Linked DNA regions of Drosophila melanogaster. The protein of the gene in region 1 interacts with the protein of each later gene in a pairwise test. Each region holds a gene or a part of one and is shown on either strand. Other genes may lie near its edges. The genes, in order: CG13407, CG17782 and Cyp9b2.

Region 1 (3,755 bases):
CCATCGCTGGCAGACACAGACACGAACCGAGCTGGAGATACAGATGCAGACCCATAAATATCTGGCACGTTCAACAACTCAAAGGGAAAAACTTTCGTTGGCACTTGGCTTAAATGCCTCATTTTCCAGTCATTAAATTTCGCTGGGCGCTCTTGCTGACCAATTTCGGTGGCCATAAAATCTTATAAAAATGTTGGTGGCAAATGTTCGGCTACTAGTTAACTACAATATGTCCGAGTCAACTTGTTATTGACTCTCTGTCTCGGTCCTGGGAGGGCTTTGAAATATGTTGACAATGGCGCCAGCAACAAAAGCTAAATATAAATACCCAATCCACAAAAAAAAAAAAAAAAAAAACAGCCCCCCATTTATGTTCTCAAATTTTCAACCCCGCAAGGCAATTGACTTTTCGATATGCTTCCCTTTTTTTTGGAAGAATCAGCAAAAGTCCTCTAGTTTCTTTTCCATAGTTTTTTGCCCAACATTTCCTGTGGGCCAAATTTTTGGGGGTTGGGGCAGCGCGACAAATCAAAGCGTTACAAAGCTGGAAAATGTGTGGAAAAGTTGCAGTGCAATTTATTATATGCTTTTGATTCTGCAAATCTAGCTGATGTTGTTCTTTCTTTTTTGTTTTGCTCCACGTTGTCGCTAGCACTGCGGAAATGTTAAATATTTGTTATTGCAGTCTAATGTTTCCGCTTTACGAAAGACAACAGACAGGGATTTTTCGAGACTGTGCTATGTTTGTGATCGAAGAGTTGTATACTTCTTGTTTAAAAGTAGTATATATATTACAATTAAATATAGTTAGAAAAAGTTAGTGGAAGATCAGAGCACTTGTAGTGTGTGATAACTGATATAAGCAGCACTAATATACCCCATAAAATTCAATTCAATATAAAAATCTTTTCTGGCAATGAAAACTATTAGCCCCAGTCATAAATCTTTAAGACCAAAGGCGTGGATGTGGAGAAGTGGAAGTGGACCCCAACCAAAAGCCGGGTTCGACTAACCGCACAAGGGACCACAAGAACCGAGCTCCATTTGGCTGCACAGACGACAGTGGCAAAGTCTGGGCCAGACATGGCACAATTATGACAATTTCTGATGCATAACGCTGCATCCATAGAGCTTTTAATGCAATAAACAAGCGACTGGAGCGTCATTAACACTGACAGGAATCGGTAAGGGTAGGGAGTAGGAGGAGTGTAGGGGGGGGGGGGTTGATGCCAAGGAGCATTCCCGGCCTTTTGTCGCTCACTAATTGTCTGGCCTGGCCGAAATGTGCAGCGCATGCATGCAACGCAACGCTCCAATTCAGGTGTGTGTCAGTTGGCCGTTGTCGCCACAAAACACTTTGCCGGCAATTGTCAGCTGGCTTTTGGGTACGTGTTACGAACAGTGATGGGAAATGGAAATACTTTCTCCACGGAGTACAAAATTAAATTAAGATACTAAAGATTACCTTTCCTGAAATTCAATAAAGAAGCAATATAGCAAAGTGGATAAAGTAAGGAGCTCTCGTTTAGAATCTATAACTTCTTCTTTTAATAAGTGAGTTACTATGTTTTTTGTAATTTTTGTACTTGTACCTAGTTTAAGTATTGGTACAAATGCTTTGCTCGAGCCGTACCTGCCAACACTGCCATTGAGTAGTTGTTTTAAGGCCGTTGCAGTTGCAAGTTGCTAGTTGTAGCCAAACTCACTTAGCAGCTGACAATGACAGTCGCCTGCCTCTCTTCTTTCCCGCATCACCAGCAACACCACTATCAGCACCACCACGATTACCACCCACTTCAAGTTCACCTGCGTTAATAGCCGCCTGCCAGGCAAGTGTCTGGGAAAGGCTTTGCCCAGTTGCCTAAACGACATTGTCACTTGCGGTTGGTTGGGCGCATCATCTCCTGCTGCTTCAGCCCCAAACTCCAGTTCGTCGTGCTCGTCCTGTTAGTCCTGATCGTCCTGTTTGCGGCTTCTGCAGTCGAGTTGCCATCGGTTTATGGCAGGTTGAGCACCAGCGACAATGAGCCACGCTGGTGCACCGTGTAGTGATAAACATGCGCGCTTTTCGGCACAAATCAATTAGCAATTGAATTTGGTGAACTCAAAGACGGTGAAAATGTCCGACGGCCAAATGACAAATCAACTCAACGTGCAACAGCAGGAACAACATCCGCTGCTTTCAGCCATCTCAGGAAATAATTATGCGTAAGCCATGGTCAAAGGCATTGGGATGTCGACTGTATTTGCCATACAGCCAAATCAAATTAAATTTGATATAATTAAGAAGTGGCACACTCACTCAGTTCCCTAGAATTATATTGTTAATCTGAACTCGCTTAAGTGCTTTTTATATATTTATCAAGAAGTCCTGCTAAACAACATCGTAAATAATGAATTAATTCTTTTTCAGTCATTGATATATGCAAAACTTAAACGCTTTAACAAACTTCTTTCTTCTATCCTACGTAATATTAATAATCGCTTAAAGGAGCCTTGAAAGAGTTTAGTCAGTTGCAACAGGATAAAGTGTGCTCTTTGGCTTAAAGATTAAGTGCTGGAGTGCCGGAGGCAACTGCAATCGCAAACGACCCCTGGCCCAAAAGACAGCCACTGCGGGCGCGGACTGATACCTCAGGCACTTAGCCGGGCTAATGTGGGACACAAACAGAAGCGGCGTCTCGGCCACACAACCACATGCCCAACCCCCCCCCCCCCCCACTCACTCATCCGCTTGCCCGCTTTCACCACTCACCTTCTAACCTTCTCTTGCAGTCAAACGCAGCGTGTGCATTACTATCCCAACCACTACTACCCGAGCCACTACTTGCCGGGCCATTACCACCAAGGACACCAAGGATACCAGGGGCAGCAGGGACGACCACCGCTCCTGGCGGCCGCCAGCAGCCACAACGGTGCTTATGCGGCCACGGCGGCTGGCAGCGGACACTCCGGCTACGGGTAAGCAAAGAACCACCGCTGCACTGAGAGAAAAGCAATGGGATGAACAAGAAAATTCATTCCAAATATACAAAGAAATTAAACTGTTATGAAAAAATATAAATAACTATTTGAAGATGAATATATACTTAATAATATTGATACTAATGAATACTAAAGTTTCGAACTTATCAACCTAAATTACCTATTTCTTCCTGTGCACTGGCCATCAAAGTCAAACCATAACCCCAATTCCAGTGCAAGTTCCGCATCTAATGCCAGTTTGAATTTTGCAGCGGCATAGAGCCATCCGTGGAGTACGAGCTGCAGCATGACCCACCCTCGGGTAGCTTCTCCTCCTTTCATCCCAGTAGTGCGGGCAGTGGGCCCGCATATCCATCTGCCCACCATCCGCCGGCTGGTCCACCACCGGCTCCTCCGCCCACCAAATCGTCAAAGAAATCGAAGAAGAGCAGCGGTTCGGTGATGAACGCACTAACGCTGCTCTCGTTCTTCTTCTTTGTTAACATGCTGCAGAACTGCCTGAAGGATCATATGGCTGACATGAATCCCACCGTGATGGTGCTCACAGCCAGCGGCACTCGCAATCGTTTCAACAAATTAGCCGAGATGAATTCACGCGAACAGACCTCGACAACGGCCACCGAATCGGTAACGGCATCGGCAGCGGCATCATCTTGGAATCATCAGGCTGCTTTAGTTCCGGCCGTCGAGCCAAGTGTGCCGCCCTCCATTGTTACGCCCACGGTGGTGCTGCAATCGCCCTACAGCCGTCACACGGAGATGGCCAATAA
Region 2 (3,755 bases), 2.3 Mb from region 1:
GAGGGTTCGCAATACGCAGTGGTGGCCATGGTGACCTCGTCTGTGGAAGGAGAATGTCGTTTAGCACGCTAATTAGTGGATAAGTACTTCTCAACTAAAATCCCTGATGAGTCTACCTAAAACTTGTATCTGAACTTTAAGGTATCTCAATGAAATAGAAGAAGAAGAAAGAGTACATCTAGAAGGACCGATGCCTTACTTAGAGTCCTACTTACTTGTCCAGATACTTCTCGATTCGCTCGTACAAGGACTGTCTGCTTCTGCGATGGTGCTTGATCTGGAGTTGCTCCAGGCGGCTCATCTTGTCCTCATGCTCAGTGGCCACTCCACTGCGTCGCTGGCGTTTATGTGGATTGGCTGCATCCGGAATGCTGCGCTTGCCAAACACCGGATATATGCGATGATGTCGAGGAGCTGGCCTTCGAGTGGGTCGACTGGTGGTGGGTGCGCTGGTGGTGGTGGTACTGTCCTGTCGTCGCTGCGCCGCTGGCGGTGCTGCCTGTTGACTTTTGTAGCCGTAGTATCTATCTTTGAGTCTGCAAATGAAATAGATAATTAATTAAAATATGAACATGCATAAGGTAAAACTATAAAGGACTGAATACTAAAGCTAACCTTTTAGAAGGATGAAGATTAATAACCTCCTAAGTATGTACAATAGTTTTACCTTGAGTTTAAAGCCCAGTAGGGATAGCGTGAGTTCTGGGCGTGAGAGTAGGGTCTCGTCCACTTGGCGAATGGATTGCTGGAGCTGGAGCTGACCCCGGGCCGACTGTAGTAATAGTGATTGTCCTTCCGCCTGCCCCCCTTTGGACGTGAGGAGTAATAACTATCCGCATATCGATGCGACGGATGCATCGGAGGGCGGAAAACGGGCGAAAGGCTGTAGTAGGAGTTGCTGCCACTCGAGGAGGAGGAGGAGGAGGAGGAGCCGTAACTCGACAAATTGATGTAGTTGGGCTTGTAGTCCGCCGGCCTGCTCGTCGTGGTCGTCGTGGCATCTGCATCCACATCCACATAGGTTATGTTCGACACTGTGTCGTTGCGACTGATGTCTATTGTGCCGTCCTCCAACTTGGTCAGCAGATCGTCCAGCTCCTCGCTGGGCGGCTTGCTGGGCAGCTCCCAGGCCAGGGCCACCGTAATGCCCAGAATCAAGTAGTTCGTGTGGTCCACCACTCCCACAATCTCATCGTACACTAAACGGATGAAGAGGGAGGGGTAATTGAGGCATGTGATTTGCATTATGTGGCACAGTGGCATAGTTAGGGGTAATAATAGACAAGGTTTAAAGTCACAATCTTTGTAAATATTTTAGATTTATAAAGATTGAGATTTATTTTTATACTGCAATTGCGACACCCCCTATTCAATGTAAAATGCCCTTTAACTGCGTCACTGTCCCGTGACTGAGGACTTACCCATCTGAAAGGAGCTGCCTTCCGGAAATACCAAATAACGTCGTTTCCGGGACAACAGCTCCTGGCTGGCTGACTGGTTGTTCTGGTAGGATGCGGACGCAGACTCATTCAGCCTCATCTCGATGAGCTGCTCCAGGCTGCTGTCGTCCGCATTGTTTATGCTCAGTGATGGCTGGCTCCCGGTTGCCAACTGGATGGATTCCCCGGTCTTCAGTGCGTCGACCAAGTTGGCCACGATGAGAAGCGTCAGGATGGTCGGCCAGCAATTACCTATCGGGGAATTTCCCTTCTCGATGGCATTGGAGCAGCTCCCCATCTTTTTCCGTGTCGACATTTTTTCAACCTGCTGTCGAAGCGTTGTCCATGCGGCAACTGTTGGCCAAGTATCGCGATGCTGGCCCAAACCGACAAAGAGAGGCAGCAACAGAAGCGTTCTTGGCCAAAAGTTGGCTGTTAATTGTGAGTAGTGGTGGTGGCCAAGCAGCTTTCCCTCCAGAAAGTTTCCAGTTTGAGTTTGAGCTCCGCTCGTTAAATTTCTTTTGCCCTCCTCCTTTGTCTTTCATTAGTTTTCACACTTTTCGTCTTTTGTGCTTTGCCAAGTAGTTTGTCTTGCAGAGCTGCTTCCATTGCCATCGCCTTTTGCTCCGTGTGCTCATTGGTCTATTTAGAGGTTCAAATTACTTTTTCACGCTCCCAACTTTTGGTTTATTCGTTCCATCCCGAAAGTAGCACACTTCCATCTTATTCCGATAGTGCTGCAGAGTGGAAGTTGAAGTAATGTGATCACTAGCCTCCGTTTTTCCGGTGATAAACTCAAATGCTCGCCTTCGACTCGGGAGATGCTTTTAGCTGCAAGTGAAGAAACTTCCAAATGACTTTTGTGCAATCTTTTCTTTACAATATCCGACTAGCTTTCTGGGTGGGTTGTCAATACAAACTATAAGATATATTAAATAGCTCGTTAATCCCCAAAGTTATTCAAACACTGATTTCTACTGTAGTGCCCATTAATTTTTGTACATATAATATTGATTAAAACTCAATAGCAGCATTCACATAATTCCCAGACTTTTATTGTGTTTTTATGTTCAATCCAACCAGAACGTGTGATTACAGTCACCGTAGATTTGCCGACAGTTGCCCTTCTGCCGATGTGCCTCCAGATAATTAGGGGAAATCATTAGCTCAAGTTCCTCCAGCTCCTCCACGTCATCGCTGCTGGGCAATTGAAAGATGGCCGAGAGTATTTCCATTATAAAGCTTTGTGGCCTGACCGCATTCGTCCCTCGAAGGACATGCTGTTGCCTTTGGGAGGACTCGCAGAGTGCGCGGAGCACACAGGAGGTACCATTTAGTCGTCGCCTGGAGGATTACACGTTTATTACACCACTGAGCGAAATAATTTATAGTAGGCGTCTTAAACTCACGACTTGTACAGGCGTTCGATTTTGCCAAAGAGCAGCTGCCTCGAGCTGAGATGCTGCTGCAGGTGGAGTCGCTCGAAGTGGGCATCCTGATCAAGACTGCGTCGCCTCCTCCGCCGAGCGAAAACGGGATATATGTGATGTTTGGGTGGTGCTCGTAGCACTTCTCGGGGTCGCTGGGAGTAGGCATAGCTGCGAAATATTATTTTTAAAATAATATTTTAACTTAAATATGTATATTTTTTAGGTTTACTTACTCCCACTTCGAGGGGCCCCATATGCGCTGTTTTTCTCGCCAGTTCTGCTGCACTCGCTGTCCATTTCGTGTCCACCAGTTGTCAGCGCCCGTCGTCTTCACCCTTTGCTGCCACTCAGCGGGCGACTGTCGCGCATGCCAATTAGCAGGAATCGCCGCCTGGCTCTGCTGTCCATTTGCATTTGCATCCGCATTCGCATTTGCATTTGCATATGGGTAAGCGGCCGGGATGCGCTGGATATTCGTGTAATACGAGTGGGAGTCATGCTCATTGGCCGCATATGCCGGTGGATTCGCCGGCGGTGCGTGCACTGCCTGCCAATTAGCCGTGTCTGCTCCTCGATTGTCCAGTTCCAGGTTCTGCGAGTGGGTTAGGGGCTGGGATGGAGGGTCAGGTTCTGGATCGGGTACGCTGCCGTTCCGGCGGACAGTGCCGATGGTGCCGTCGTTGATGCGCGTGAGCACGTTTTCAATCAGCTCGCTGGGCGGCTTACTGGGCAGCTCCCAGGCCACGGAGCAGGTGATGCCCAGGATGGCGTAGTTGGTGTAGTCTATGATGGGTATGATGATGTCGAACACCAGCTGAAAGGACGAGCCCTCGGGGAAGAGCAGGTAGCGTTTCTGGCGATGCAGTCGCAACATCGCATCCCTTCC
Region 3 (3,755 bases), on another chromosome or scaffold:
CAACAATGTGTGATCCCAAATCGGGAGCCCTTCCCCGATTTTGGGTATCCTTTCAACGTTTAATATCTCATCAAGTGTTACGCTTTACGACTACTTAAAACCCCATAAAAAACGAAACAAAATAAAACTGTGGCAAGGCGGCACAGGCAACTGAATCCGAAACAAAATCAACGCCCAAAGCCGTAAATTTCCCTCCGTCGGTTTCAGACGGGTTTTCCGAGGAAAGCTGCTGAAAGGAAAGCGAAAGGAAATGCAAAAAGCGAAAAAGCACAGCAGCATAGCTACGAGAGAAGCGACAGCAGCAGATTTAATGATGCAGCATGATTTGCGCATAAAAAGAAGCGAAATAGAATGGACTGAAATGGTATAGAAGGGCGGGCGGGGGCGTGGCAGCAGGCATTATAGCCTGACAGACATCAGCAACTGCTGGGCAACTGCTTTGATAAAATGCAGCTCTCCCGTCCACAATCACTTACATCCTCGCAGGCTGTACATATATGTTTGGACACATATATCCTAACACTTTAGTCGCGCATAAAATGCCAAAGGACCTTCATGTGCGACACAGCAGTGGGTTTCAGGGAGCTGCTCAGTTTTCCGAGCATGTATGTATGTATGTATGTATGCTCATATGTGTATGCGGGATTTCGAGTGCATGCGTGCTCCAAAGGGTTGAATAAACCCAGGCGAACTCGGAAAAGCTAGTGGATCCCAGAAAAGGATCAGAGAAACGTGAATTCAATACATTTTCTGAACAACATACAGGCAAAGTGAGCGCCACAGGAAATGAAAGTATAGAATATAATATAGCAGGTTTTCTAGTCATAAAGAAGTTTAGGAAGTATTCACATAAATCCAACCCAGATATGGATCAGCAAAATATACAAAAAATATGAGTTTTCCGTGTAAAAACTAATGAATTTTCCTAACTTCTCTATACATGAATAGCCGCATGCACTTTCTTCTTCGAGCCCTTCAATAAATATTTTATTTGGCAACGATATGGCAACAAAAGTTTCTAAGCCCGACAAAAGAGAAGCAGAAACTAAAACAAAACTTAGCTCGGTAACACAACCGTCTAAATATTTAATTATATTTCTCCCATTGCGCTTGCGGCTAAATTGGTGTTTTAACCGTTTGCTCGTTATTATGCTTTTGTTGGTGGCCCCAGCACTCCGTCAATATGTTAAATATTCAAACTGCGAGCCCCAAAATCAACAAAACTATGAGTCAAACCCGTCTTCGGCCAGGTTTACATCACATCCAGTGTGTGTGACATGACAAACTGGAGTTCTAGTGAGGTGACATAAGCACTGGGCGATGGGGAAAGCGAACAGAGCTTCATCAGCTGAAATTATCCAGGCAACGGACAAGGCCGATTACTTTTCGAACACATTATCGCTTTTCGTTCTTTGTTGGTAACTCGATGAATGCTTTAGCCTGATTTCATCAGCCAGTCCCAAATCAAGCACTCTTATCGGCAATGGAGAGTGCCGTTTGACAACAGTGCAAATGGGCAATGAAATACAATAAGTGAATATCGAAATACTTTCCCTTGCTATCACATTTTCTTTCTATTTTGGTTTGCCAGGCTTTCTGCGTCTTTTGCATTTATTTTCTACTATATCATATATATTTATTCTTAATCTTACTGCATTTGTGATACTCAGAATCTAGAGTATTATATATATCGAAGAAATGTGCAATCATTACAAATGCTACTTTACTCACATTTTGTTGCTCTGTGTTATTATTCGTTGTCACTGATTGGATTGCCGTGTATATACGCTATTGATTAGACCTTTGGAGAGAAGAGAGCATTTAAACCACTCGCGTTTGAAGTACTCGTTGATAGCACCAAATATAAACAATGGGTGCGAAGCACAAATGTTTGCTGTAGTCTCACCGCTCGCAAAGATTTTTCACTGAGAGCGGGCTAAGAGATAAGCGTTCTATCTAGCAAAAAAACCTGGCTGAATAAAGCTTGAAACCTGTCGAGAGCGTACATACTTTTCTTACCATATTCATACACACATATATTTGATAGCGGCGTGTATAAATTGGTGCGTCGGGTAATTGTGAAAATCAGTTTGCAGCGTACTGAACAGGTGGTGAAACGGATCTAGCCCAGAAATGGCACTCATCGAAATTTGTCTGGCCCTTGTGGTCATCGGTTATCTCATCTACAAATGGAGCACGGCCACCTTCAAAACCTTTGAGGAAAGGAAGCTCTACTTCGAAAAGCCATATCCCTTTGTGGGTAATATGGCTGCAGCGGCCTTGCAGAAGTCGTCCTTCCAGAGACAACTCACCGAGTTCTACGAACGCACTCGTCAACAGTGAGTAGTTATGCGCCTGACTTCCAGTTGTTCAAACGCTAACAGACTGCTTATCTGAATGCAGCAAACTGGTGGGCTTCTTCAATATGCGCACACCTATGATCACGCTAAACGACCCGGAGCTGATCAAAAAGGTCTGCGTAAAGGACTTTGACCACTTCCCCAACCACCAGCCCTTCATCACCTCCAACGATCGCCTGTTCAACGACATGCTCAGCGTGATGAGGGACCAGCGGTGGAAGCACATGAGAAACACCCTCACTCCGGTCTTCACGGCGGCCAAAATGCGCAACATGTTCACCCTGATGAACGAGAGCTTCGCGGAGTGCCTGCAGCACCTGGACAGCTCTTCGAAAACGCTTCCCGGCAGAAAGGGCTTTGAGGTGGACATGAAGGTGATGTGCAACAAGCTCTCCAACGACATCATCGCCACTACCGCATTCGGGCTAAAGGTTAACTCGTACGACAACCCGAAAAATGAGTTCTACGAGATCGGGCAGTCGCTGGTTTTCTCCCGAGGACTTCAGTTCTTCAAGTTCATGCTGTCCACCTTGGTGCCAAAGCTTTTCAGTGTAAGTTTATTAATATTTGATGTGCACTGAATAGATTATATATTCGAGATGTTGTCCTTTTGTTGTCCTCAGCTTTTGAAGCTTACTATTTTCGACTCCGCCAAGGTTGATTACTTTGCTCGCTTGGTGGTGGAAGCCATGCAGTACCGCGAGAAGCACAATATCACCAGGCCCGACATGATCCAGCTCCTGATGGAGGCCAAGAATGAGTCGGAGGATAAATGGACGGACGATGAGATCGTGGCCCAGTGCTTCATTTTCTTCTTCGCCGCCTTCGAAAACAACTCCAATCTGATCTGCACCACAACCTACGAACTGCTTTACAATCCCGACGTCCAGGAGCGTTTATACGAGGAGATAGTCGAGACCAAGAAAGCTCTGAACGGTGCACCACTCACTTACGACGCCGTGCAGAAGATGACCTACATGGACATGGTCATCTCCGAGTCCCTTCGAAAGTGGACTCTAGCCGCCGCCACCGATCGCCTGTGCTCCAAGGACTACACGCTCACGGATGATGATGGCACCAAGCTGTTCGACTTCAAGGTAGGCGACCGAATCAACATTCCCATTTCCGGGTTGCACTTGGATGACCGCTACTTCCCGGAACCCAGAAAGTTTGACCCGGATCGATTTAGCGAAGAGCGAAAGGGTGACATGGTGCCCTACACCTACTTGCCATTCGGCGTGGGACCTAGGAATTGCATAGGTCAGTTAATAAAAGTGTTACGATAAGGAGGACAGTTTAAATCATACAATTTCTTTGTAGGAAATCGATATGCCTTGATGCAGGTCAAGGGTATGCTCTTCAACCTACTGCTGCATTACAAAATCGAGGCCTCCC

The links.
Region 2: the proteins of CG13407 (region 1) and CG17782 interact in a two-hybrid assay, tested with the Drosophila melanogaster proteins (one large-scale study listed by BioGRID).
Region 3: the proteins of CG13407 (region 1) and Cyp9b2 interact in a two-hybrid assay, tested with the Drosophila melanogaster proteins (one large-scale study listed by BioGRID).

Annotation. Positions count from the first base shown.
Region 1 is NT_033777.3:22,101,295-22,105,049, forward strand, and holds the start of CG13407 (uncharacterized protein), read left to right. Parts: upstream 1-2,119; coding exon 2,120-2,208; intron 2,209-2,775; coding exon 2,776-2,961; intron 2,962-3,236; coding exon 3,237-3,755.
Region 2 is NT_033777.3:24,370,982-24,374,736, forward strand, and holds the start of CG17782 (uncharacterized protein), read right to left. Parts: upstream 1,782-3,755; 5' UTR 1,756-1,781; coding exon 1,422-1,755; intron 1,200-1,421; coding exon 668-1,199; intron 537-667; coding exon 216-536; intron 41-215; coding exon 1-40. Other genes in the region: CG17781 (uncharacterized protein), read right to left, coding at 2,510-2,783, 2,849-3,037, 3,103-3,755.
Region 3 is NT_033778.4:7,130,468-7,134,222, reverse strand, and holds the start of Cyp9b2 (cytochrome P450 9b2), read left to right. Parts: upstream 1-2,083; 5' UTR 2,084-2,133; coding exon 2,134-2,339; intron 2,340-2,403; coding exon 2,404-2,911; intron 2,912-2,983; coding exon 2,984-3,620; intron 3,621-3,680; coding exon 3,681-3,755. UniProt on the Drosophila melanogaster protein: May be involved in the metabolism of insect hormones and in the breakdown of synthetic insecticides.